Linked DNA regions of Sus scrofa. The protein of the gene in region 1 interacts with the protein of each later gene in a pairwise test. Links are inferred from orthologs where the notes say so. Each region holds a gene or a part of one and is shown in the gene's direction. Other genes may lie near its edges. The genes, in order: TRIM39, PSMD9, PRPF3, LNX1, EIF4A2, UBE2E3 and PLCD4.

Region 1 (4,201 bases):
ATTGATGTTGATTTCAGAAGACTCCAGTCATTGCTGAATACTAGAATAGACATGTCAGCTGTCTTTTCAAGAAGTTCTTGCCCTGGGCTCAGTAATAGAAATAGACTTTCTAGTACAGTTGCCATGAATTTATCACTTTCTAGCAGTTCCAAAAGTCCAAATGCACACAAATAGAAATGAGTTGTTGTATGAATCATTTCATTCCGAAAAGATAGCACACTTCCTCTAGGCTAGCCTGCTAAAAGGAAGAATAATTCCAGACTTCTGAAAAAAAGAGGTTGTTACCCTTGCCTAACTCACTCCATTTATTACCGTTTGAAAGAGTGAGAGAACAATGCCAGAGAATCAAGCTTAGGTTCCAATGGGCTATTGTAGTAAAACTCTTCTGTAACATTACGCTTTAATGCATACTTAAGGAACCTTAATTAGGAGTTCCTGCTGTGCTGTAGTGGGTTAAGGATCTGGCATTGCTACAGCTGTGGCATAGGTCACAGCTTCAGCTGGGATTCGATCCCTGGCCCCAGGGAACTTCCATATGCCACGGGTGCAGCCAAAAAAGAAAAGAAAGAAAGAAACCTTAATGCTTGACTTTTATGGCACATTCCACTTTCTGAAACTCCTTTCTCATCCATTAGAAAAAATATGTCGGGGAGTTCCCATTGTGGCGCAGCGGACACAAATCCTACTAGTATCCATGAAGATGCAGGTTCAATCCCTGGCCTTGCTTGGATTGCCATGAGCCATGGTGTAGGTTGCAGATGCAGCTCTGCTTCAGAGTTGCTGTGGCTGTGGTATAATTGGCCGGCAGCTGTAGCTCCAAATTGACCAGTAGCCTGAGAACTTCCATATGCTGTGGAAGTTCTTTTTTTGGCCCTAAAAAGCAAAAAGAAAAATGTGTTGGAGTTCTTTGGTGGCTCAGCCAGTTAAGGATCTGACATTTTCACTGCTGTGGCTTTGGTTCAGTCCCTGGCCTGGGAACTTCCACCTGCCATGGGCACAGCCAAAAAAGATAAGTATGTCCAACCAGGAATTCATTGGTCTGGAACTATTGGTTCTAAGACACAAATGGAATGAAACAGAATCAGGAGAAGTACTTTGGGCTAAAGTTGAAAGGGGCCTCTGTTTCTAACAAGAGGAAGTGATAATAGACAAGAGATTGAGGGTTATATGTCAGTTTGCTGCAGAGAAAAAAAAAGTTAATGTCTGGGAGTCACAAGTTTTGGAAATGGAGAAACAAAAGAGCTTGACTAGTGGGAGAGAAGATGTAAAATACCACGAAGGGACTAAATCTGCAGTTAGCGTTTAACATGGACGTACATGTCAGGTCAGGGATGCCAAAAAATTAAACCTCCAATTAACATTTTTCTTTCCTCTTCCCCCTTCCTAACTTCAAGTTAAATAATGGCAGAGACAAGTCTGTTAGAGGCCGGGGCCTCTGCAGCCTCCACAGCTGCAGCGCTGGAGAACTTACAGGTGGAGGCAAGTTGTTCTGTGTGCCTGGAGTATCTGAAGGAGCCTGTCATCATTGAGTGTGGGCACAACTTCTGCAAAGCTTGCATCACCCGCTGGTGGGAGGACCTAGAGAGGGACTTCCCTTGCCCTGTCTGTCGAAAGACATCCCGCTACCGCAGCCTCCGGCCTAATCGACAGCTGGGCAGTATGGTGGAAATTGCCAAGCAGCTCCAAGCTGTCAAGCGGAAGATCCGAGATGAGAGCCTCTGCCCCCAGCACCACGAGGCCCTCAGCCTCTTCTGCTATGAGGACCAGGAGGCTGTCTGTTTGATATGTGCAATTTCCCACACTCACCGGGCCCATACCGTTGTGCCACTGGATGATGCCACCCAGGAGTACAAGGTAAGGAACCAGACACATGATGCTAATGCAGGGCAAGGGAGAGGAGTGCAGAGGGTGAGAGATTCCCTGGGTAGAAGATCATAAGTTCCTGAGGGCAAGATGGTATCTGGTCCTCACTCTGTATTCCCCTCAGAGCTACATACACTAGGCACACAGCACATCTGATCAGTTATCCTCAGGCATGAAGAAGAGCAGTGAGAGGAGTTCCCATCATGGCACAGTGGAAAGAAATCTGACTAGGAACCATGAGGTTGCAGGTTTGATCCCTGGCCTTGCTCAGAGGGTTAAGGATCCAGTGTTGCCATGAGCTATGGTGTAGGTCGCAGACACGGCTCAGATCTGGCATGGCTGCACCTGTGTCATAGGTCAGCAGCTGTAGCTTCCGTTGGACCCCTAGCCTGGGAACCTCCATATGCTGCAGGTACGGCCCTAAAAAGCAAAAAAAAAGCAATGAGAAATATCCCAAAATTTCTCTCTGACTTTTATAACACATCTGCGTATGTGTGGTCCTGGAATGTATTATGTTTTTCACAAGTGAATGAAACCGCATGGAGAAGATCAAATTTAGGAAGAACTGAAAGGTAGTCTGGTTTCTTCATTCTTTCCTCCTGCTCACATGCCCCTTGTTTAACCTAGTATTGGGCATAGATAACATCACTTTAGAATGACCTCCACCAGGCCAAGCTGAACCAGTCTGTTTGCATCTTGCCTGGATGATAGATAACATGGTATACGGATTAACTTACCACTGGGACCCAGGATACATGTTTGAGTAATAGGAACTCGAGATTTTAATGTCTTAGCACTTTATCAAGAACTTTGACCAATTATATTAGTAAAATCTTAGAAATAAGATTTTATGGTAGTTTCCAAAATAAGTAATCAAGATTGTATTATATTTGCAAGTGGTTAGAGTTGGATAGGACAACAATTTAAAGAAAGATATCAGGGGACAGGAGGTCACTTTGACAGTAATAGGCAGTTCCATGAGTAAGAAAATGAACAGGGCAGGAGAAGGACAGAGAGTTGGTGACAGCTGGACACTGTGAGATTCAGTGAAAGGAAAGTTTGGTGAACAAAGAAAGTGATATGGAGACAGGTTGGTGGCAGGAAGAGGGACCTGTAGGAAATTGACACCCCAAATGACAGACAAGGCAGTTGCATCAAGAGGTGGTAAGAGATGGATAGGAAGCAAAACAAATGATTTAAAACAAATGGGTTAGTTTCTGAACATAGGATGTACCAGATAATCCCAAATGCCATTCTCCCACTTTGCACCCCTCAGGAAAAACTGCAGAAGTGCCTGGAGCCCCTGGAGCAGAAGCTACAGGAGATCACCCGCTGCAAGTCCTCTGAGGAGAAGAAGCCTGGCGAACTCAAGGTAAAGGCAGGAGATCCATTTGGGCTGCTCTACAGGCAGTTAACCAAACATTAACCACACATTATTTAACCCCCCCAGTTCTGGTTCCTTAGAAAAATGCTATTCTCGGAGCTCCCGCTGTGGCACGGTGGGTTAAGGATCCCTCGTTGTCTCTGAGGCAGCAAGGGTTCAATCCCCGGCCCAGTGCAGTGAATTAAGGATTCATCGTTGCCACAGCTGTGGTGTTAGGTTGCAGCTGTGGCTGAGATTCAGTCCCTGGCCCAGGAACTTCTATACGCGGCCATAAAAAGAAAGAAAAAGAAAAATGCTGTTCTCTCAGAAATGATGGTATTTTTATTAAGCTTGATTGTCATTAAACATTGTACTTAGATTAATTGTCATGGATTAAGTATTGAGAAAGATGGAAGAGGTGAAGGACAGAATATCTTATATCTGTGGAGTTGAGGGAGTTCATGCCTGTTGGTCTCCTTTTCTTTGTAAGGCAGGGAAGAAGGCTCTCTGCTGAGTGGGCAGGGATAGGAGTTTCTTAGAGGGATTGAGGCAAGAAGAATGTGGAAGATGCACTCGGGAGGAAGGATGGAGGAGCTGCCCAGTAACCTCTAGACCACATTCTCTTAACTCAAGTAAACTCAAAAATGCTAGATGAGGTTAGTTTCTAGGATAGTCTTCCTTTCCCCATCCTCTACTGTAGGATCCTATTGGTGAAAACCACTGCTTATGTAGCCTTTCTGGAACCTTTAGAAATTGGCTCTTTTAATTTGCATACAGTTTTGCATCTCTTCCATAGCATTAACATATTTGTAGCATGGTATTTTGGTATCTGTCCTATTTCTTCTATTGGACAGTGAGACATGTATTAATAGTAGCAGTAATAATAACTAGTATTTATTGAGCCCTGAGCATTAATTCATTAGGTATCCAAGACATTCCAAACTTTCAGGATTGTGTTAGGTCTTAGAGTTCTGC
Region 2 (3,500 bases), on another chromosome or scaffold:
TGAGAGGAAGGGGGAATGAGAATGACTCCTAATGGGTTTGGGGTTTCTTTGGAAATGTTATAAAATTGATTATTGTGGAGTTCCCGTCGTGGCGCAGTGGTTAACGAATCCGACTAGGAACCATGAGGCTGCAGGTTCGGTCCCTGCCCTTGCTCAGTGGGTTAACGATCCGGCGTTGCTGTGAGCTGTGGTGTAGGTTGCAGACGCAGCTCGGATCCCGCGTTGCTGTGGCTCTGGCGTAGGCCGGTGGCTACAGCTCCAATTGGACCCCTAGCCTGGGAACCTCCATATGCCGCGGGAGCGGCCCAAGAAATAGCAACAATAACAACAACAACAACAAGACAAAAGACAAAAAAAAAAAAAAAATTGATTATTGTGATGGTTTCATGACTCTGTGAATATACTGAAAAGCTTTTGAATTGTACACTTCTTTTTTGGCCACGTCTGAGGCATGTGATGCTTCCTGGCCAGGCATCAAACCCACACCACAGCAGTGACAATGCTGGATCCTTAACCTGCTGAGCTACCAGGGAACTCCGAATTGTACATTTTAAATGGGTGCATTATATGGTATGTAAATTACTTCTCAATAAAGCCGTTAAAAACAGAACAAAGGGGGAGTTCCTGTTGTGGTGTTGTGGTGCAGTGGAAACGAATCTGACTAGTATCCATGAGGATGCGGGTTCTATCCCTGACCTCGCTCAGTGGGTAGGGGATCTGGTATTGCCCTGAGCTGTGGTGTAGGTCGAAGATGTGGCTTGGATCCTTTGTTGCTGTGGCTGTGGTGTAGGCTGGCAGTTGTACCTCTGATTCAACCCCTAGCCTGGGAGCTTCCATATGCCTCCAGTGCATCCCTAAAGAGCAAAAAAACAAAACAAAACAAAAAAACCCAAAAAACAGAACAAAACGAAACAAAAATGGAGGGAGTTCCCGCTGTGGCACAATCAGATTGGCAGTGTGACTGAGTGCTGGGACTTAAGTTTGATCCCTGTCCAGACAAAATGGGTTAAAGGATCTGGCCTTGCTACAGCTGAGGCATAGATCTCAACTGCTGCTCAGATCTGATCCCTGGCTCAGGAATTCCTCGTTCTGTGGGGTAACCAAAAAAGAATAAAACAACAACAATAAAACAAATAGGAGTTCCCTGCTGACTCAGCAGGTTAAGGGTCTAGCATTGTCACAGCTGTGGCTCACGTTCAGTCCCTGGCCAGGGAACTTCTGCATGCTGTGGCCATGGCCAAAAAAAAAAAAAAAGAAAAGAAAAGGAAAGGCCCTGAGTTAACATGTCATCTGGAGGTGATATAAAGCACAAAATGGGGACTTTCTCCTTGATTATTGAAGGGTTGAAGATAACTAAAAGGGCACTTTATTTTTATTTTTTTGCCTTTTTAGGGCCTCCCCTGTGGCATATGGAGGTTCCCAGGCTAAGGGTTGAATTAGAGCTGCAGCTGCCAGCCTACACCACAGCCACAGCAATGCCAGATCCGAGCTGTACCACAGCTCGTGGCAGCACCAATTCATATGCTTCAGGTGCAACCATTAAAAAAAAGAAAAGGGGAAAAAAAAGATTCAGTGTCTACAAAAGGATATAAAATGGAAAGTCTCTCTCCCTCCCTTGTCCCCCAGCCACCCAGTTCCTCTCCCCAGATGGCAGCTGGTGATATCTGGCGATATCAGTGTAGCCTGCCAGGGATGAAAAGCCTGTTTGAAGTCCCCTTTAGATCTCTCTTTATTTTCAGAAGATCCAAAGTCCTGCCTCAGCTCGGTGTTCTTTGGGGTTATCACCCCCTTCCCCCCAGGTTCCAAGGCCACCAGCCAGGTGTCAGCTGCCCATAGGAAGGAGGATTTGGAGGAGTGGAGGAGAGGCTGGCCTTGGGGATGGTGCTCAAAGAAATCCTTAGTTTTATCTGCACTGCATTAACTTCAGAAAAGGAGAGTGGCTTCATGCTTTGCTTGTGTTATTAGAAGTCAGTTAAAAAATAGTGCCCACTTCAGAGGGCAGATGGGAGAGGGTGTGGAAACATACCTCGTTGGCGCACATTGAGTAGTACCTGGCAGTGTCATTACTGTCACCTTTATTAGGAGTTCAGAGGAAGAGTGTCTGGGGAAAGAGGGCTGGAGGACTGCACACTTGTGAATCTTTCTGACCTTGTTTCTCTTCTCCAGCAAAAAGGCGTGGGGATGAACGAGCCGCTAGTGGACTGCGAGGGCTACCCCCGGTCAGATGTGGACCTGTACCAAGTCCGAACAGCAAGGCACAACATCGTCTGTGAGTGGCCCTCGCTGGGGACCTTCTCCCACCTTGTAGCCGGAGATGCTTAGGGCACACAGAGAAAGCACCAGTGCTCCACATTATCCTCTCCCCTCACTTTGGCCTTGATGGGATTACCTCATCTGTCCCCATTGAGAGCCTGCAGACTAAGGGAATGGGTTAGACTCCAGGGCTCTGTGTCCATGGTTTCATTTTTCTTTTTCTTTCTTTTTTTTTTTTTTTTTTGTCTTTTCTAGGGTTGCACCCACAGCATATGGAGGTTCCCAGGCTAGGGGTCTCATCAGAGCTGTTGTTGCCGGCCTACACCAGCCGAAGCAACACCAGATCTGAGCTGTGTCTTCGACCTACACCACAGCAATGCTGGATCCTTAACCCACTGAGTGAGGCCAGGGATCGAACCCTCAACCTCATGGTTCCTAGTCGGATTCGTTTCCAATGTGCCATGACAGGAACTCCATGGTTTCATTTTTTTTTTTTTTTGTCTTTTTGTCTTTTTGTCTTTTTTGTTATTGTTGTTGTTGCTATTTCTTGGGCAGCTCCCGCGGCATATGGAGGTTCCCAGGCTAGGGGTCGAATCGGAGCTGTAGCCACCGGCCTACGCCAGAGCCACAGCAACGCGGGATCCGAGCCGCGTCTGCAACCTACACCACAGCTCACGGCAACGCCGGATCGTTAACCCACTGAGCAAGGGCAGGAACCGAACCCGCAGCCTCATGGTTCCTAGTCGGATTCGTTAACCACTGCGCCACGACGGGAACTCCATGGTTTCATTTTTCATTTTGTTTTTAGGAACTTTACCGTGGAAACTTTATCACAATAACAATAGAAACCCAAGTCAAATATCGCTTACAGTCCTAATCAGATCAGTTAGAGTTAGGAAACAGGTTTAGTCGTTAATGACAGTGCCCTCAGCACGGCCACTCAAACGGAAAGGAGTTCAGTTCCTCGGTAAAGACATCTGGAGGACGGAGTCCCGGGCCGGTCATCAGAAACCCAGGCTCTGCCATCCTTAGGAAGTGTCATCTATCTTGAGGTGGGGTCACCATGTCCCTGTGCCAGGCAGGAAGGACAAAAGCTCCTAGGCCAGCTGGCACCCCTCCGTTAAGGATCTGTCCTGCAAATCCCACCCCCACCCCTGCCATAGTTTCTGCTTTCCTCTCATAGGCTCCTCTGCCTGGAAGAAACGTTGGAGAATGTGCCCCATGGTGCATGTTGCTGTCCTAAATAA
Region 3 (3,500 bases), on another chromosome or scaffold:
GTAGGCCGGCAGCTGCAGCTCTGATGCAGCCCCTAGCTTGGGAACTTCCGTATTTCCTGAGTGCAGCCACAAAAAAAAAATGGGATTCTACTACTTCCCTGTTTTCTTTGACTCCAATTTATCTTCTTCTTCTTTTTTTTTTTTTTTTTTATCTTTAGGCCCAACTGGAGAAGCTACAGGCAGAGATCTCACAGGCAGCTCGAAAAACAGGCATTCATACTTCGACTAGGCTGGCCCTCATTGCTCCTAAAAAGGAGTTGAAGGAAGGAGATATCCCTGAAATTGAGTGGTGGGACTCTTACATCATCCCCAATGGCTTTGACCTGTGAGTTTGTTAGTTAATACCTTTTAGTAAGGCTAGAGTTTTAATGGGCAGGACAATACTTGTGCTTTAAATTAGATCTAAGGAGAATAGGTAACCACACACAAGCTCATATATTTGTTAAGAGTATGTTGTATGGGTTATTTTTAGGTTTTTTGGGGTTATTGGAGGAGGATTGGTCACAAATAGTCTAAATAACTTGTGGAGGAGTTCTCGTTGTGGTGCAGCAGAAATCTAACTAGCAGCTATGACGTTGTGGGTTTGATCTCTGACCTTGCTCAGCGTTGCTGTGAGCTGTGGTATAGATTGCAGATGTGGCTCAAATACTGTGTTGCTGTGGCTGTGGCATAGGCCGGCAGCTGTAGCTCCAATTGGACCCCTAGCCTGGGAACCTCCATATGCTACAGGTGCGGCCCTAAACAAACAAGCAAACAAATAAATAAATATGCAAATAATTATAAATTTTCTATTTGCTTTTTTTTTTTTTTTTTGGCCACACCCCTGATGTGCAAAAGTTCCTGGGCCAGGAATCCCACGCCACAGCAGTGACCTGAGCCATTGTAGTGACAGTGCTGGATACGTAACCCACTGTGCCACATAGGAACTCCAGAATATTTGTTTTCTTCTCTTTTCTTTTTATGGCCGTACCCACAGCATATGAAAGTTCCCTGGTTAGGGGTCGAATCTGAGCCACAGCCACACAAAATCTGAGCTGCATCTGTGACCTAAACTGCAGCTTGCAGCAACCCACTGAACGAGGCCAGGGATTGAACCTGTATCCATATGGATACTAGTTGAGGTCTTAACCTGCTGAGCCACAACAAGAACTTCAGAATATTTGTTTTCTTTCTTTCTTTTTTTTTTTTTTTTTTTTAACACTGCACCTGCAGCTTATGGAGGTTCCCAGGCTAGGGATTGAATTGGAATGGCAGCTGCCAGCCAACACCACAGCCACAGTGACACTGGATCCGAGCTGCATCTGCCATCTCTACCACAGGTCATGGCAATGCTGGATCTTTAACCCACTGAGTGAGGTCAGATTTGAACCTGCGTTCTCATGGATGCTAGTCTAATTCGTTTTCACGGAGCTATGAGGGGAACTCCAGAATATTTTCTTAATTTCATTCTTGTAGTTCCTGCTGTGGCACAGTTGGTTAAGGATCCAGTGTTGCCAAAGCTATAGCATGGGTGGCATCTGCTCCTTGGGTTTGATCCCTGGCCTGGGAATTTCCAGCAGAAAATGAAATACATTATTTTGCTCCTTTTAATAGGTGTTTATATTTCTTAAAGATCCAGACCTAGAGTAGAGCAAGGATTCTTAGTTGTTGAGGGAGAGAATAATAAATAAAGCATATAAGAAACATTTGGAGAGCTTTTATCATATCTTCTTCATCATTTTGATACATGGCTTTAGGAGACTGTCTCAGCCTTTCCTTACCCTTCCTTGGCCAACCACTGCCCCGGGGAGTTATTGTTACTAATGAGAGTCCATGGTATCCATCAAAGGTGTTGAGGTAGAAAAAAGGTTGAGAATGGTATAAAGAGTGCATCCAAATGGAACCATTTTCTCATCTTGAAAATTATGTGTAATATAATTACATATTATAGATATGCAAATACTTATAAAAGTGCTAGAATTCATTATGGAGAGTGGATTTTTTCATTGTTTCTGAGACTCCCTCTCTTGGAATCATCTCTACCCACATATCCTGTTTTCCCTTCTTCCTCCAATTTTAGTACAGAGGAAAATCCCAAGAGAGAAGATTATTTTGGAATCACAAATCTTGTTGAACATCCAGCCCAGCTTAACCCTCCAGGTAATAGATTACTCAATCAAAGCTCTAGAGAACTATTATACAATAGAAATTTATGTGGTAGTGGACGTGTTCTCTATGTGAGCTGTCTGTACAGTAGCCGCTATCCACATATGACTATTAAGACTTAAAAACTGGAGTTCCCCTTGTGGCTTAGCAGTAACGAACCTGACTAGTATACATGGGGACTCAGGTTTGATCCCTGGCCTCACTCAGTGGGTTAAGGATCTGGCATTGCTGTGAGGTGTGGTGTAGGTTGCAGATCTGATGTTGCTGTGGCTGTGACCTAGGCCAGCAGCTACACCTCCAATTCAGCCCCTAGCCTGGGAACGTCCATATGGTGTGGCCCTAGCAAGACACACACACACACACACACACACACACACACACACACACACAAAACAAAGAACTTAAAACCTGAGTTGTAATAATATATAACTCAGGGACTGAATTTTTAATTTTATTCAATTTTAATTTTAAATTTAAGTAGAAAATGTGGTTAGTGGCTACAGTATTGGACAGTGCAGCTGTAGAGCACTGAGGCCTAATCTAGAAATGGCTTCACTGATGTATATTACAAATTGGCCTTTTGTTAGTGTTGACTCCCAACTCTAGTCTTAGACACCACCACTAAAGTCCTGGCCTTTTTCAGTCTTTGTCTTCAGCCTTTCTATCATTTTTGTAGCAAAAGTGTATTGACTCAGTTGAAAAAGATGGGTTTTAATCGTGTCTGTGTTTTTTAAGTAGCTGAATCCCTTGTGTAAATCACTTAGAATACAAAATTTCCTCATATGTAGGAATAATATTAAGTTATATTCCTTCTTCAAGCGATCATAAAAGATTTTAACACTTTGATCAGTTTTGGAATAAACAAAGGAAGTTAGTTTTTTACTCAGTTACCAAGTTTACTCAATCAATAAATCTGCTCACCATCACAGGGAATTATATCCAGTCACTGCGATGTGTGACTGGGTCACTTTGCTGTACAGTAGAAATTGGCAAAACACTGTAAATCAACTATAATCACAAAAATAAAAATCAGAAAATAAAAAATTTGCTTACCAGTATCTCCAATAAGTTCAGGAAAATAGATTGAGAGCTTGAAATAATGCAAAGTGTAATTGTTGAGTTGTATTTAATAAGAATCTACTTAACTGTCATTAGTATGAATCATCAAAAGAATGCAGAGGGTTTTATATGTTTTATCAAGTCGAGTAAACCTTCTTTAGGAGTCCAGAAGATTTTTTCCAATTCCAGTAATTCTCAAATTATAAATTTCATCATCTTGGCCAGTGGTTTTCAAGTTGTATTCCATAGACACATTGAGGTTCAATAGGTAGGATCCAAATGAGATTCTGCATATC
Region 4 (3,500 bases), on another chromosome or scaffold:
ACAAAGTTTATGATTATCATTTTTTCTAACTTCACTCTCCTGCAGCTCATTAAGAAAAACAACTGAAGGCCAAAAAAAATGTTTATTGATTGATCATCCAGAAGACTTCCTACATGTTAACTGGGCATGTTAAAAACTCCATCTTAAACTCCTATACCAAAGGGAGGTACACAGTGTGATAGAATTTTACCAGTTTGAATAAACATACGTATAATTGAATGAAAGAAGCCTACTAAGAGTTCCCACTGTGGCTCAGTGGAAATGAATCCGACTGGGATCCATGAGGATTCGGGTTTGATCCCTAGCCTTACTTAGTGGGTCGGGGATCCAGCATTGCCACAAGCTGTGGTGTAGGTCCCAGGTGCAGCTTGGATCCCATGTTGCTGTGGCTGTGGCGTAGGTCAGCAGCTGTAGCTCTGATTTGACCCCTAGCTTGGAAACTTCCATATGCCATGGTGTGGCCCTAGGAAAAAAAAAAAAAAAAAAAAAAAAAGAATACTATTAGAACGAAGCAAAAAGACTCCTTATAAGAATTATAACTTTCAGTTTACAGGCCAATTAAGCTTGACTGGAGATAGAATGACTTCAGTGGCCAATGCATGTAAGAATAGTTAATAGTTAGAAAGCCCTTACTATATTCCAGGCATAATTATAAAAGCTTTATGTCTCATATCTCATTTAATACTCACAACAACCCCATGAGGTCACTATTATTACCCTCATTTTAGCTATGGAAACAAAGGCCTCAATCATTGGCCCACAGTGGTGGTAGGAATGGCCCAGGCCATGTGGCTCCAGAACCTACTTCATCACTAATGACTAGAATAAATGCAAGGCACACAGCAGAAAACAGTGCTTTCATCACCATAAATTACAACAGCCTCAACTGCTCCTAGTTCCTCAGATGATTTAGTTGAAGATTCTGAGGTCCCATATTTTCTGAGTTTTGGAGAAAAGTTGGGGCAAGAATCAGAGAAAGCCATCAGAGCATTTACTGTTTCTTCTTCTTGTCCTGATCTGACAAAGAACATATTATATATATGTGTGTGTGTGTATTTTATATATATATATATGTATGTACATTTATGTATATATGTATGTGTGTGCATATATGTGTGTGTGTATGTGTATATATATATATGTGTGTGTATATATATATATATATTTTTTTTTTTTTTTTTTTTTGCTTTTTAGGGCCGCACCCATGGCATATGGAGGTTTCCAGGCCAGGGGTCCAATCGCAGCTACAGATGTTGGCCTGCACCACAGCCACAGCAACACCAGATTCGAGCCACATCTGCAACCTACACCATAGTTCACGGCAACACTGGATCCTTAACCCACTGAGCAAGACCAGGGATCAAAACCTCAACCTCGTGGTTCCCAGTCAGATGCATTTCTGCTGCTCCATGATGGGAACTCCTGACAGAGAATTTTATAGATCATTGGTCTATTGGATTAACAATTTACATTTCAGAAGGCAGATTTCTGGGCACATCGCAGATTTTACCCAAATGATTTTCATCGCACCAACAGGAGGATGTTAATGGTAAATATTATTCCCACTGGAATAGGTGGTTAAACTGAGGCCTAAGGAGGCAAAGCCGCTGGCCCCAGGTCACCTCAGTCACCCTCGTGGGCACTCACCCTGGCCTCCCTGGGGCACAGCTCATGGGCACTCACCCTGGCCTACCTGGGGCACAGCTCAGCTCAGTTCTGTCCACTAGCCGCATTGCCTCACGTCCATGATAGCATCTTCAGTGAGCAGTCTTGCTCTCTTTCAGGTTTGTGGATGGCACCAAGAAGATCTTGATTTGCTCCAGAGGAAATACTGTATCCCCGGGGTTGGTTTCCTGTGCTCCTGCCCTGCCCTGCTGCCCAGCTGACCATGAACCTGTCAGACCCCGCTGATGAACCGGACCTCAGCCCTGCACCCCTATGTGTGGTGTGTGGCCAAGCCCACTCCCCCGAGGAAAACCACTTCTACACTTACCCAGAAGAGGTGGACGATGACCTCATTTGCCACATCTGCCTGCAGGCACTGCTGGACCCTCTGGACACTCCCTGTGGACACACGTACTGCACAGTCTGCCTCACCAACTTCCTGGTGGAGAAGGACTTCTGCCCCGTGGACCGCAAGCCTGTGGTCTTGCAGCACTGCAAGAAATCCAGCATCCTGGTCAACAAGCTCCTCAACAAGCTGCTGGTGACCTGCCCATTCACCGAGCACTGTGAGGAGGTGCTGCAGCGCTGTGACCTGGAGCATCACTTTCAAACAAGGTAGGGAGGGGCTCCTCCTCGGCCAATCCTGAGAAGCCCCGCCCTCATGGTGGCTGAAAGGGCGGGGCCTTCCGAGGCCCAGGTGCGCTCAGAGATGGTCCTTTCTCTGCCTTCTGCTTTGCAACCAGAGACAGTATTCATTCAAAATAAGAAACGTTTTAGGTGTTCACGGCTGTGGTTCCATATGAGGAAAGAGCACGTGGTAAAATTGTGGGATGTGAGTGTACGCTTGTGCTTATAGGCTGGTTTTTTCTATAAAATAGACATAACATAAAATTTACCATGTTAGAATTTTAAGTGTACAGTTCAATGACATTGAGTACATTCATTTTGTTGTGCATCCATCACTAGCATCCATCTCCAGAACTTTTTTCATTTTTCAGAACTAAAACTTCACATCCATTAAAAAAAAAAATGAGTTCCCACTGTGGCACAGCAGGTTATGAACCCAAATAGTATCCATGAGGATGCGGATTCCAACCCTGGCCTCCCTCAGTGGGTTAAGGATCCAGCATTGCCATGAGCTGTGGTGTAAGTCAGATGCAGATAGGATGTGGGGTTGCTGTGGCTGTGGTGTAAGCCAGCAGCTACAGCTCTGACTCAACCCCTGGCCGGGGAACCTCCATTTGCTTGCAGGTGTAGCCCTAAGTAGAAAAACAACAGCAAAATGCATAACTTTCCATTCCCTCCTCTCCAGCACTGATAACCACCATTCTACTTTCTGTCTCTATGAATTTGATTGCTCTACAAACCTCATATAAGAAACATTGCTGGTGTCTGTCCTTTGTGACTAGCTTATTTCCTTTGTGTGCATTCAAATTGTGAAAGATACTGAAAAAAATGACAAGAAGCTTTCTCTGGGGCTTACAGTCCCCTAAAAGATTTCCTAGTAGGCATTGCCTGTCTTTTTATGTAAGAAAAGCATGTCTCCTAATTTGGCCCATGATTGTTAGAATTGCCTCTGCACAGGAAACCTTTGGGAAAAGCCCAACCATCCTTTGAGGTATGGTATTTTCAACTAAGTTTTAAAAGGGAGAAATTTAGGAAGTCCCTTTTGTGGCTCAGTGGTGACGATCCTAGTATCCAGGAGGATGCGGACTCGATTCCTGGCCTCGCTCAGTGGGTTAAGGATCCAGCGTTGCCCTGAGCTGTGGTGTAGGTCAAAGACAGGGCTTGGATCCAGCATTGCTGTGGCTGTGCTGTAGACCTTTGGCTACAGC
Region 5 (4,018 bases), on another chromosome or scaffold:
TGAATATAGTACACAAATATAGAAAATTAAGTCATTTTTCCTGTTATCAGACTTTATGTTGGCAGTCTGATTTAATGGTAAAAGGTTTTCTTGAGTAATTGTGATATTTTGCAGTATGGGTAGGATTGTATTTCAAAGTTAAATGACTATATATATTAATTTTTGTTTTGTTTTTACTAATGAGTATGGGTTAGGGCTATAGTTGAAAGCCTCTGGAGCTTTAAGGGTTACAATGCTCTCAATATCAATAAATCAACATTCATTATATATAAGCAATTAAAATTCAAAAAGCCTTTTGGAAAAAAAAAAAATGACCGGAAGCAAAACTTATGTAGTCCCAAAGCGGCACGGAGCTGTACTTGCCAGAAGCATCCACTTAAATTCCTGAATTACAGGAAAAATTACCCTTCTATTTGCCAGTTTACAATGATTTTATCAGGCATTGCTCACACCTGTTAAAATTTATAACCTTTATTTTTAAAAGGCAGTGAGAGAAGAGGCAACATAAGAAAGGAGTTGGCTACTCCAGAGACAATTTGCAGAGGACCCTACACATTTCTTCTCGCCCTGCACGATGTACGGTAAAGCGGATCTCCTGTGACACGCTGGGCGGCCGACATTTTCCGCAGCGCGAGTTTCACACTGTCAAGGTCTGTATGGATGTTAAACGCTCGTGTCAAAGGCCAGGCGGCTCTTTACCTTCGCGTTAAGTAGCGGCGCGAACAGGCGGAATAGCCCGATTGCCCTCCAGTGCGGAGTATGGCCGTGCCTACACCTTCCGCACCGAGCACGGCGAGCACAGCGAGGTTCCCTGGCTCGCCTGCGGAGAAACCGGGGCCACCCAGCTTCCAAGGGGCCCCGAGCTTCCGCCTCCCGGTCCTGCCCGGCGCCCCGGCCGCCTCTGCTCGAGGGACGCGGAAACCCCGTAGGAGCAGGGCGGGCAGGGAACGCGAACCTAGCTACTGCTTGCTGCAATATTCTTCCGCCGCGGGTCAAAGAGTCCCAACCTTCCCCCAGGGTCCTGGGATTTTCAACAACCCTGGAATATCGACACATAATCAAATTTGAATTTTCTTAATGATTTGCTTCGAATATTTTCTGAGATAAGCATCCCAGGATCACAATTTTGTGACTGGCCGAAGAGCGACAGTAAAATTCCTCCGCGGAAAACGGGTTCCGGCCGCGAGCCTATAAAAAACGGGTGGTGCGGCCCGGCTGTCTTTTCAGTCGGGCGCTGAGTGGTTCTTTGGATCATGTCTGGTGGCTCCGCGGATTATAACAGGTATGGCGCTCTCTCCGGTGGTTTTCTATGGTATGGTCCTAAGGCGCCAGAGGAGATGGTAGTAGGCGGTGAGCAGGAAGAGAAGCCCTGGTTCATAGGCGTTGCCTTGGGCCACGGTACTCCTGTGTCCTTCGAGAAGCTTCCATGAAGTGTAGGGCCCGGGTTGTGGGGAGACGAGACGAGGGTAGGAAAACGGGGTGGTTAAAGCGTGTCTTTCCCCGAAGGCGCATTTGAATCGCAGCCGCCCCCCTGCCCCTGCGGAGCCCGGCGTTTAGTGAAAGCCATGGCGCAGCCCGCGGTTGATAGAGTCTAATGGGGCTCGGAGGTTTATTCGCGGCCAGCGGCGCGGCTTGGGCGCGCTAGACGGTGGTGGGGTGGGGGGCAGGACGGCGACGGCGCCCACTGCCCGCGGCTGGAGGCCGGATGGGGCCGCGCCGGCCACGGGGTCCCAATGAGCCGTTGGCTCGCCTCTCCAGGCCTCGGCCCGCGTCAATCACCCCGGCTTGCGCAGTGTTAGGGGCGGAGCTCAGCGCGTGGAGCTCTCGCGAGACGGTCCGCCGCCGAGGGGAGCGCCTGCGCTCGGGCTTGGAGGGGGAGGGCCGGCGTCGGAGGGGCCTTTCCGGGTGTCCTCAGGTCCTAACCTTTGAGCGGGCGCGCGGGACATTGTGTGCCCTGCGGCATCAGCTTCTTCTGCGGCTTTGGGAAGTGGACTCGTGCAGGGGAGGGCGACCTCAAGAGACCGGTTGTGAAAGCGCTTTTTCGCCCATGTGCAGTTGAAGTGGGTTTGGGGAAGGGATTTTCTCTAACTGCAGTGTTTTTGTTGGCAGAGAACATGGCGGCCCAGAGGGAATGGACCCCGATGGTGTCATCGAGGTAAGAAACGTGTGTGGAATTTGAAACTCTGGGAAGGTAAGTGTGTTCGTCCCATTTATTCCTTTTTTTTTTGCCCAAACTTTCAGAGCAACTGGAATGAGATTGTTGATAACTTTGACGATATGAATTTAAAGGAGTCTCTTCTTCGGGGCATCTATGCTTACGGTTTTGAGAAGCCATCAGCTATTCAGCAGAGAGCTATTATTCCTTGTATTAAAGGTAAAAGAATTCGGCTGTTTTTAAAAATGAATTCACTCTTCTGCATAGACCTGGACCGTAAAAGGGAACGTATACCTTCTGGGGGACTAGCACCTATTTGTATTCCAAAAAGTGAAATGATGGCAATCATCTTTCGGGACTGACCTGAAATGAAGAGAATACTCATTGCTGATCACTTGATTATTTGGGCATAATTATGTTCCAAATGGAATACATGGTGTGACTAGAAGTGACGGTTTGCTGTGGGATCGGTAAATATGTATCCTACTTTTTTTAGGGTATGATGTGATTGCTCAAGCTCAGTCAGGTACTGGCAAGACAGCCACATTTGCTATTTCCATCCTGCAACAGTTGGAGATTGAGTTCAAGGAGACCCAAGCACTAGTATTGGCCCCCACCAGAGAACTGGCTCAACAGGTATTGATAGTGTAGTTCAAAAAAACTGCTTGCGTGTTGCATAGGTTTCAGGTTTCACAACTGTGGAGAATTTAAAAGCCTAGTATAAATTGGTCCTACAGAGCCCTCCTTTTAACTGTCCATGCATGCAGGGAGTTATTGTTGAAAGTTAAACAGGAACTGGGTGTGCAGGTATGGTTTGCAAGGTTGTGTAACAGATTGAGAAACTGAAGATTTCTGTTCAGGCTGGACTAGATCTTTTCTCATTTTAAGTTTGAATCCAGTTGTGCAACATGAAAGCTGCAGTGACATGTTCATTCATTTGACTGTCTCAGTATGTGATACATCTGTTGCATGCTGCGTTTTCAAAGCTCACTACTATATTGGCTTTGAAGTAAACCTTGCTAATACACTTGTAGTTGTTATTAAGGTCAAGATTATATGCTGCAGTACTTTGCGGGAAAAAGTTTGTTAATGATGATAAATCTTATTTACTCCTTCCTGCACAATACTAATGTAGGAAATGTTTTTCACTCTAAATAACCTGGTTGGTATCTGGGCAATAGGATCCCAAGTTTTGACAAGGCACAAGATATTTCAGTGAAGTTTATCCTGACAGTTATATCTGTCTGCATTTTTTTCAGCTTGAAAGTAGTTAGGTGCTCTGCATGCATTAAAGCTGTTTGCAGACCACATACTTGTCAATATGCTTTGGAAGTTTAGTCACAGCATGTAATGCTGCTGGATGATAATTAACGCTTTTGGCTTTCAGATCCAAAAGGTAATTCTGGCACTTGGAGACTATATGGGAGCAACTTGTCATGCCTGCATTGGTGGGACAAATGTTCGGAATGAAATGCAGAAACTGCAGGCTGAAGCACCACATATTGTTGTTGGTACACCAGGGAGAGTGTTTGATATGTTAAACAGAAGATATCTTTGTAAGTATTACTCCCTATTAGTATAGTTTGTTGGAGTATAGATTTTTTTTTTTTTAACTCTTAGGAATCAATAACATGCCTGATAGTCTAGAGATAATAGTACGACTTTATTTTTAACAGCTCCAAAATGGATCAAAATGTTTGTTTTGGATGAAGCAGATGAAATGCTGAGCCGAGGGTTTAAGGATCAAATCTATGAGATTTTCCAAAAATTAAATACAAGTATTCAGGTGAGCTTTATTTTCCCTCATTTTCCTGTAATAGCTGGAGGTTAGGTTAATGCAGGTACTGTTACAATACAACTGAA
Region 6 (4,024 bases), on another chromosome or scaffold:
GGTGGACTTTAACATTTGCTCTCCTTTTGGACTGGTGGCTTCTAGAGCAGGGAGACCTGGCTTTAGTCACACACTAGTTGAATGAGAGAGTTTTGTGTGTCCAGCAATTAGGGCATAGTTCTCCAAAAGGTTCACCGAATGACAGTGTCTTTGGAAAATTACAGAACTGTAACTTACTCTTCAGATTTGTAAGCAGCACTTTACCAAAACTTTTCTCTCTGGAGGAAAAAAAAGTCAATATGTTGGCTCATTCAGCCTTTTTTTCCCCTTTTTCCCTTTAATTCTAGTTCATCTGTTATGACTCTGCCATTGTCATTCCTGCTCTGAACTCCACATTCTCCCAGCACCCCTGCTCCTGACATTTGTGGGAGAGGAATCCACAAATTCCTTTGGGGCTCCATCACTGGAGCAAGTTCTCAGGAGCTGGAGAAGGTCTGGGCTGCAAACAGGAAGTTTTTGTACTTCTGGTTACTTTGTGCCTGGGGCAAAAACTGCAGTCCACCTGGAGACTGCAAGAGAGAATGACAGAACAAAACTACTAACCTTCACTATCTCCACCTGAAGCTTTTTTTCTGGGTGGACATTCTGACCTAGTATCACAGATGGTTCTCTTTCCAGAACTGGCCTCTAGCATGCACCTCACTAGAACCACGCAGCAAAGCATCAGGTATAAACCCTGTTTATGACCTTCTTCACTTAAACAATCTTGAGTGGGACATTTAAAAAATTGTTTTGAATTTTTAAGTTTTCAAAGCACCCGAAGGATCACCTTCTCCTTTGGTATGCTGAGGGCCAAAGAGAAGCAAGCAGAGGCTGGTCAACTAGTCTCAAAATCTCTTTTCCTCCCTCGATGCCGAAGACCCCATGTTGCCCTTTTAGCTCACACGAGGGGCAAGAGGCAGCTTTCCTCCTCCTGCATGCCCGCCTTCGTCAACGACACCCATTAGTCTGCAGTCTTCTAGGGCAGTGGGGGACTCTCGACCACGCACCCGGGGCGCTAGTCCAGAAGTTGGGGCCCCTGGGGTCCAAGCCGGCCCCTGCACATGCAGTGGGGCTGCAGGTCAGCCCCAGGGATGATCCCGGCCCAGCGTGCGGGGTAGGTAGCCCAATGGGCAGTCTCGCTCCGGAGGCGGGCTCAGGCCGGAAGCCACCCCGCGGCACAGCGGCCCCACGAGACGGCGCCCGCGCCCCCGCCTTTTCTGGCACCCGCTCCGCGGCCAAGGGCGGCAGGGGCCAGCCCGCTGGGTCCCCGCCGCGCTCTTTGTCCGGGCCGCGCGCGGGCGGACGCGTGCGCCCCCCGGGTGAAGGGAGGCGCGGAAAGAGCGCGCGGGAGCGCGCGAGAAAGGCTCGCGCCCGCCGGCGGCGCGTGCCCCTTCGCCAGGCAAGCAGTGAGCGAGCACGCGCGCCGCCGCCGCGCCCGCCCCTCCCCCGCGCTCGCCTCGGAACTTGCTGACTGCGCGGCCGGGAGGAGCCGAGCCGGGAGGCGGCGGCGGGAGGCCACAGCGCGCGGGGGTCTCCCGCGTCCCCTCCGCCTCGCCGGGAGCTCGCGCCCTCGCCCAGCCGAGCTCCCACCCCCCCTTTTTTCCGAAGGCGCTGGGCGGCGCCACCCTCCGGCCGGAGCCCGGCACTGCACAACCCCCTCCGACTTTCAATGTTCCACACTCCCCGGCCAGAGCCTCCTCGGCTTCTTTTTTTCCCTCCCCCCCTTTCCCCCCCCCAGCTGCCTCCATTTCCTTAAGGAAGGGTTTTTTTCTCTCTCCCTCCCCCACACCGTAGCGGCGCGCGAGCGGGCCGGGCGGGCGGCCGAGGTAAGGCGGCGGGGCCGGGGGGCCGCGTGGGGGCGGCCGGGGCGGCGGCGGCGGTGGGGGAGGGGGCGGGGGCGGGCAGCTTTGTTCGCGCCGGGCGCCCGCGCCGCCGGTGTCCGCGAGCCGCGGCGGGGCCGGCCGGGCTGCTCGCATCACTTGGCGCCCGGCGCGGCGAGCGCTGCCCGCGGCCCCCGCGCGGCCCTCCCCACAAAGGGCCGCGGAGCTGCGTGGCCGCGCCGCCGGCCGCGGCTCGCCTCCGCGGGCGCGGAAATTTGTTGCACTTCTTGGGGCTTTGTTTGTTTGTTTGTTTTTCCTCTGATTTTTTTTTTCGTTATTTTGGACAAAATGTCGGTCCGTGATGTAAAAATTGAGCGAGGAACCTTGATGGCATGGGGAGCTTTGCAGAAGGTGCAGTTTGAATTTTGCTTTTCCCAGGGTGGCAGCTCGGTCTTGGCCGGATGAATCTTCCCTGCTGGCCGTGGAAACGGCTAGAGCAGCTTGTTAGTTGATTTTTTAAATTCCTAAGTGTTGTATTTAAAGGCTTACGTGCACCGAGGAGGAATCGCCACCTTAAATAAGCATATGGGCGATTAACAGGGTATGTTTTCCTCTTGGAAAGGGAATTTGGTAGCTTTGACCAATGTCAGCGTGTAAATATTTAGACGTTATTAGTGACTTTTTAACATTTTTCAGCAAGATCTGTTATTTACAGTGTGTCATATGTTATTAATGCTCGTTGCCTAAGTTCCCTGGCAAATCTGTTTCATGCCTTCTGAGAAAGTAGACAATTGATAGATTGTCCAAGGGATGGAAAAAAATGTGAGTGGGTTTTCTAACTTGAGTTCGTAAATCCCTGAACGCTGGCGTTGTAAGACCCATCACCTCCCCTGTAACCTTGCTTTACGACGAGATAAGTGTGAACACTTTTGAAGTCTTTTCATTAAAATACGATTTTAGGTGAAGATAAAGAGATGAAAATGCTGTTGGTTTATTTAATAGACTTACCTGTCCTTTCTCCCTTTTCTATTGAAAAGTTTTCCAAGAAATAACTTCACCAAGATGTCCAGTGATCGGCAAAGGTCCGATGATGAGAGCCCCAGCACCAGCAGTGGTAGTTCAGATGCGGACCAGCGAGACCCAGCCGCTCCAGAGCCAGAAGAACAAGAAGAAAGAAAACCTTCTGCCACCCAGCAGAAGAAAAACACCAAACTCTCTAGCAAAACCACTGCTAAGTTATCCACTAGTGCTAAAAGGTAATGTGTGAAAAAAAGGATTACGCATGTTGTCTGTGTTGGACACTTTTGTTGGTTTTACATCAGTAGCAATAGTTGAAAAATACTTCCTTCTTGATCAGTTTTATTTGTACTTGAATGAGTTGTCATTCTTTAGATGGTCTATAAGCCACCTCCCTAGAATTAGGCTTTTAAGCAAACTTGTTCTGTACTTTGGTAACTTCAGTGAGAGTGTCCTTGGAGAGAGATTGGATTAACCTCTGACAGATTGTTTAAGGAGTTGGCAAGGAAAATTTGGTCAACTCAAATTAACTGGTACATTGAGGATATTTCCTTTTTATGAGTCATTTTCTTCTTCATTGAAATTGACACTTCTAGAGATCAGCAGTGCCTCTCCATGAAACTTAATGATCAGAAGTAATCATGTGTGCTAGAAAATTTGTAAATTCAAGGCCTTCCTTGGCTATATTTGAAAGCAAACTTAAAAACTGTGCGCTAAGTCCACTTTCAGTTTTACAAACCTGACTTTAAGTCATATGTCCCAGGTATTACTTTTTGTAGTTAAGCTGTGGTTATATTCGTGTGTCCTTGTGAGGGCAAATAAAACTGAAAAGCAGCCATTTACATTTTAGGTGGCACTTGGTGATTGAAAACTTTGCCATAGTGCCTCTCCACTCTAAAACTTGTGGATATGCTTGACATGCTAATACTCAACAGCAGGAGAAACATATTTTGTTGCATATAAGAGAAAGATCATTTGTTTCCTGTTGATTAATATTATCTGTGATGGTGAAAAAAAGATTCTGTTAATGGGACTCCCATCAGTGGTAGTAGTTGTGGAACATCCATGAATTCTAGGAATTATACATCAGATGTTTCTACAGCCTTCAGCAGTATCGACATTTTGTTCATTTTTTTATCACAACCAAAAGAAAAAGAAAATATAAAAGCTGATCAAATGTTGGCATGCTGTAGTAATTTTCTATG
Region 7 (3,500 bases), on another chromosome or scaffold:
ATGACTCATGATCTTATGAAAGGTAAATAACAATATGCTATTACATCAGACCTCAGGGACCTCTCTGTCCATGGCCAGAAGGTCACAAGTGCCTAGTACAGTGGAAAACTTCAGCTAGCATGTGAGTAAATAGGAGGAGGGAGGAGTTCCCATCGTGGCTCAATGGAAACAAATCTGACTAGCGTCCATGAGGATGCAGGTTCAATCCCTGGCCTTGCTCAGTAGGTTAAGGATCTGGTGTTGCCGTGAGCTGTGGTGTAGGTCACAGGTGCAGCTCAGATCTGGCATTGCTGTGGCTGTGGTCTACAGCTCCGATTGGAGCCCTAGCCTGGGAAAGTCCATATGCTATGGGTGCGGCCCTAAAAAGACCAAAAAACAAACAAACAAACAGGAATCTTCCAATATTCTAGGGACATATCGGGGCATTTAACTTTTTCTAGTCGAAAATGTTCTCTAATAGCAAATGATATGGTTGATAAGCTTTTCACTTAACTGAAGTGACTTATTCTGTGAACACTAAGTGTCAGGAGTTCTGTGGGAGTTTTATGGAAGCATGTCTGGATCCATCAATAATATTACCCTTACAGGGAAAGTCAAAGCCAAAAAAAAAAGTACTGTTAAAGGGTTTGTCCACTTTCCTCTGAACCATCTCTTACAGACAGCAGACACATCCCAGTCTGGGACTCTGGAGGGAGAAGAATTTGTAGAATTCTATAAGTCATTGACTAAGCGTGCTGAGGTGCAGGAATTGTTTGAAAACTTTTCATCTGATGGGCAGAAGCTAACACTGCTGGAATTTGTGGATTTCCTCCAAGAGGAGCAGAAAGAAGGAGAACGTGCTTCTGATCTTGCTCTGGAACTCATCGACCGCCACGAGCCTTCAGATAGTGGTAAGAAGACTAGGGTGGAAAGGCACCAGACATGGGGGCTCATGGGGGACCGTGATTAGAAAGATCCAGAAGCAGTTCCTGCTGTGGTACAGTGAGTTAAGAATCCAATTACAGCAGCTCAGGTCACTGCGGAGGCATAGATTTGATCCCTGACCTGGTGCATTTAAAGGATCAGGTGTTGCCGCAGCTGCGGTGCAGGCTTGGATTCAATTCCTGGCCTAGGAACTTCTATATGCAGCTGTTTAAAAAAAAAAAAAAAAAAAAAAAAAGGTCCAGAGACAATCAGCCTTCCGCCTAACTAAGAGGAGGCTAAGTCCACTCCCCCGCCCCAGGCCCCCTGTCCAATCATCTTCATCCCATTCAACCACTTGTCTGGAAGGTGAGAGCCATTTCCTACCTACATAAGACAGGATTCTCCTCTGTCAATGCTAGATCTCTCAGGAGGAAGAACATTCCACAAGTCCCCTTTCCTCCACTATGCTCATGTTTCACATCCTTCACCTTCAGGAAGTTCTTCCTGATATCAACTTTGTCCTTGTTGGAAATGGAAAATCCTTGGTCCTTGCTTTTGGCCTTTTCTCTAGTGCCTATGTTTCCTTTTCCTAGTTCACTTCATGGCTCCTATTGGCTGTCCCTTTAAATGCTGGCCCTCTGCCCTTTCCTGGGCTTTCTCCAAATTCTCCAAGTGGTTCTTGAGTCCTAAGCCTCTGAGCCAAGAAACTTGTCAGCCCCTGGCTGAGGAGGATGATGAGGTGGCCAGTTGTTCAGCTTTTAGCAAGCACAGCTAAAATAGACTTTCTCTGCACTCAAAACTTTCTCTTTGCCTTCTTTAGTAGACACTTTCCTGCCCTCCATTCCCTTCAGAATGTGGGGATGTGATGCATTTACATTATTAATAATAAGTGACTTACAAGGCACTTTCATATCTCTTACTTTATTTAGTCCCCACTCCAACCTTGTAAATCAAAGGCAATCATCTTTATTGGGCTTTTGCTAAGTATCCCAGAATGTGCCACCATCTCTATATGCCTTTCCTCTTCTAATCCTTCCAACAACTCTATGAAGTGGTTTCTATTATTAAGTCAAAAGAAGAATACTGTGCAAATCAGGAAAACTGAGGTTTAGAAAGCTCAAGGAGTTCCCTGGTGGCCTAGTAGTTGAAGATCTGGCATTATCACTATTGTGGTATGGGTTCAATCCCTGACCTGGAAACTTCTGCATACTGTGGGTGCAACCAAAAAAAAAAAAAAAAGTTAGGAAAATCAAATCACTTGCTCAAAGCCAACACTAATGAAAGGAGGTACTGGAAATAAAACCCAGGTCATTGGAATTCCCGTTGTAGTGCAACGGAAATGAATCCAACTAATATCCACGAGAATGTGGGCTTGATCCCTGGCTTTGCTCAGTGGGTTGGGGATCCAGTATTGCCACGAACTATTATATAATTTGCAGATGTGGCTTGGATCCCAAGGGTTAGGGTTAGGGTTGTGGCTGTGGCATAGGCTGGAGCTCCAATTCAACCCCTAGCCTGGGAACCTCCATATGCAGTGAATGCGGCCCTAAAAAGCAAAAAAAAAAAAAAAAAAAACAAAAAAAACCCAGGCCATCTGACTCTTACCTGGTGCCTCTCGTAGAGAATGAGGATTAGAGGCAAGATGAGTATGACCTGGACCAGTGACCCAGGTTTCCTGGGTCTCAACTCCCATTGCCTTTCATTCCTTCATTCATTCACTACTTCAGCAGGGGCTCACTGGGTACCTGCAAGGTGCCAGGACCTATGTAGGGATCAGAGATACAGTAGTGGGTCAGGCAAGGACACTGCCCTCATGGAACTGAGAGTCAAACAGAAAGCAATGAAATCACTGATTCCAAATTCACGTGGGTGTTCAGAGAAGAAAGGGGCTATAAAGCAATCATTGCCAAGAATAAGTAGAAGAAGAAGCTGGAAGGTTAAGAAATAGGATCCTTAGAGTTCCCACCATGGCTCAGAGGAAATGAATCTGACTAGCATCCATGAGCTCGAAGTTTCGATCCCTGGCCTTGCTCAGTGGGTTAAGGATCCAGCATTGCTGTGAGCTGCAGTGTAGGTTGCAGATGTGGCTCGGATCCTGGGTTGCTGTGACTGTGGTGTAGGCCAGCCACTACAGCTCCGATTGGACCCCTAGCCTGGGAACCTCCATATGCTGCTGGTGCGGCCCTAAAAAGACAAAAAAAAAGAAAGAAAGAAAGAAGGAAGGAAAGAAGGAAGGAAGGAAGGAGGGAAGGAAGGAAGGAAGGAGGGAGGGAAGGAAGGAAGGAAGGAAGGAAAGAGAGAGAGAGAAAGAAAGAAAGAAAGAAAGAAAGAAAGAAAGAGAGAGAGAGAGAAAGAAAGAGAGAGAGAGAGAGAGAAAGAAAGAAAGAAAGAAAGAAAGAAAGAAAGAAAGAAAGAAAGAAAGAAAGAAAGAAAGAAAGAAAGAAAGAAAGAAAGAAAGAGAATCCTCTATTTCCAGGACAGGATACATCATTACCTTGTTCTACCTCCCAGCCCTTGTGCTGTTCCTTCCCTTTGTACTTGACTATCAGCTACAGCACTCCGGCTACAGAGGGTGCAATCAGTCAGGAGAGGGGGGC

Evidence for each region.
Region 2: the proteins of TRIM39 (region 1) and PSMD9 interact in binary tests that used the Homo sapiens proteins (3 or more experiments, as listed by UniProt). The two-hybrid records come from large-scale screens. The link is inferred for Sus scrofa from reciprocal best matches to the Homo sapiens genes TRIM39 and PSMD9.
Region 3: the proteins of TRIM39 (region 1) and PRPF3 interact in binary tests that used the Homo sapiens proteins (3 or more experiments, as listed by UniProt). The two-hybrid records come from large-scale screens. The link is inferred for Sus scrofa from reciprocal best matches to the Homo sapiens genes TRIM39 and PRPF3.
Region 4: the proteins of TRIM39 (region 1) and LNX1 interact in binary tests that used the Homo sapiens proteins (3 or more experiments, as listed by UniProt). The two-hybrid records come from large-scale screens. The link is inferred for Sus scrofa from reciprocal best matches to the Homo sapiens genes TRIM39 and LNX1.
Region 5: the proteins of TRIM39 (region 1) and EIF4A2 interact in binary tests that used the Homo sapiens proteins (3 or more experiments, as listed by UniProt). The two-hybrid records come from large-scale screens. The link is inferred for Sus scrofa from reciprocal best matches to the Homo sapiens genes TRIM39 and EIF4A2.
Region 6: the proteins of TRIM39 (region 1) and UBE2E3 interact in binary tests that used the Homo sapiens proteins (3 or more experiments, as listed by UniProt). The link is inferred for Sus scrofa from reciprocal best matches to the Homo sapiens genes TRIM39 and UBE2E3.
Region 7: the proteins of TRIM39 (region 1) and PLCD4 interact in a two-hybrid assay, tested with the Homo sapiens proteins (2 studies listed by BioGRID and IntAct). The two-hybrid records come from large-scale screens. The link is inferred for Sus scrofa from reciprocal best matches to the Homo sapiens genes TRIM39 and PLCD4.

What each region holds. Positions count from the first base shown.
Region 1 is NC_010449.5:23,048,801-23,053,001, forward strand, and holds the start of TRIM39 (tripartite motif-containing protein 39), read left to right. Parts: upstream 1-1,401; coding exon 1,402-1,854; intron 1,855-3,139; coding exon 3,140-3,235; intron 3,236-4,201.
Region 2 is NC_010456.5:30,815,636-30,819,135, reverse strand, and holds part of PSMD9 (26S proteasome non-ATPase regulatory subunit 9), read left to right. Parts: intron 1-2,166; coding exon 2,167-2,269; intron 2,270-3,500. UniProt on the Homo sapiens protein: Acts as a chaperone during the assembly of the 26S proteasome, specifically of the base subcomplex of the PA700/19S regulatory complex (RC).
Region 3 is NC_010446.5:98,754,725-98,758,224, reverse strand, and holds part of PRPF3 (U4/U6 small nuclear ribonucleoprotein Prp3), read left to right. Parts: intron 1-158; coding exon 159-325; intron 326-2,059; coding exon 2,060-2,139; intron 2,140-3,500. UniProt on the Homo sapiens protein: Plays a role in pre-mRNA splicing as component of the U4/U6-U5 tri-snRNP complex that is involved in spliceosome assembly, and as component of the precatalytic spliceosome (spliceosome B complex).
Region 4 is NC_010450.4:40,346,535-40,350,034, reverse strand, and holds part of LNX1 (E3 ubiquitin-protein ligase LNX), read left to right. Parts: intron 1-1,784; 5' UTR 1,785-1,888; coding exon 1,889-2,280; intron 2,281-3,500.
Region 5 is NC_010455.5:124,581,844-124,585,861, forward strand, and holds the start of EIF4A2 (eukaryotic initiation factor 4A-II), read left to right. Parts: upstream 1-1,218; 5' UTR 1,219-1,253; coding exon 1,254-1,282; intron 1,283-2,109; coding exon 2,110-2,155; intron 2,156-2,241; coding exon 2,242-2,374; intron 2,375-2,651; coding exon 2,652-2,791; intron 2,792-3,542; coding exon 3,543-3,711; intron 3,712-3,831; coding exon 3,832-3,941; intron 3,942-4,018. UniProt on the Homo sapiens protein: ATP-dependent RNA helicase which is a subunit of the eIF4F complex involved in cap recognition and is required for mRNA binding to ribosome.
Region 6 is NC_010457.5:86,469,688-86,473,711, forward strand, and holds the start of UBE2E3 (ubiquitin-conjugating enzyme E2 E3), read left to right. Parts: upstream 1-1,224; 5' UTR 1,225-1,808; intron 1,809-1,935; exon of another isoform or gene 1,936-2,403; intron 2,404-2,839; 5' UTR 2,840-2,864; coding exon 2,865-3,058; intron 3,059-4,024. UniProt on the Homo sapiens protein: Accepts ubiquitin from the E1 complex and catalyzes its covalent attachment to other proteins. In vitro catalyzes 'Lys-11'- and 'Lys-48'-, as well as 'Lys-63'-linked polyubiquitination.
Region 7 is NC_010457.5:120,670,640-120,674,139, forward strand, and holds part of PLCD4 (1-phosphatidylinositol 4,5-bisphosphate phosphodiesterase delta-4), read left to right. Parts: intron 1-658; coding exon 659-890; intron 891-3,500. UniProt on the Homo sapiens protein: Hydrolyzes the phosphatidylinositol 4,5-bisphosphate (PIP2) to generate 2 second messenger molecules diacylglycerol (DAG) and inositol 1,4,5-trisphosphate (IP3).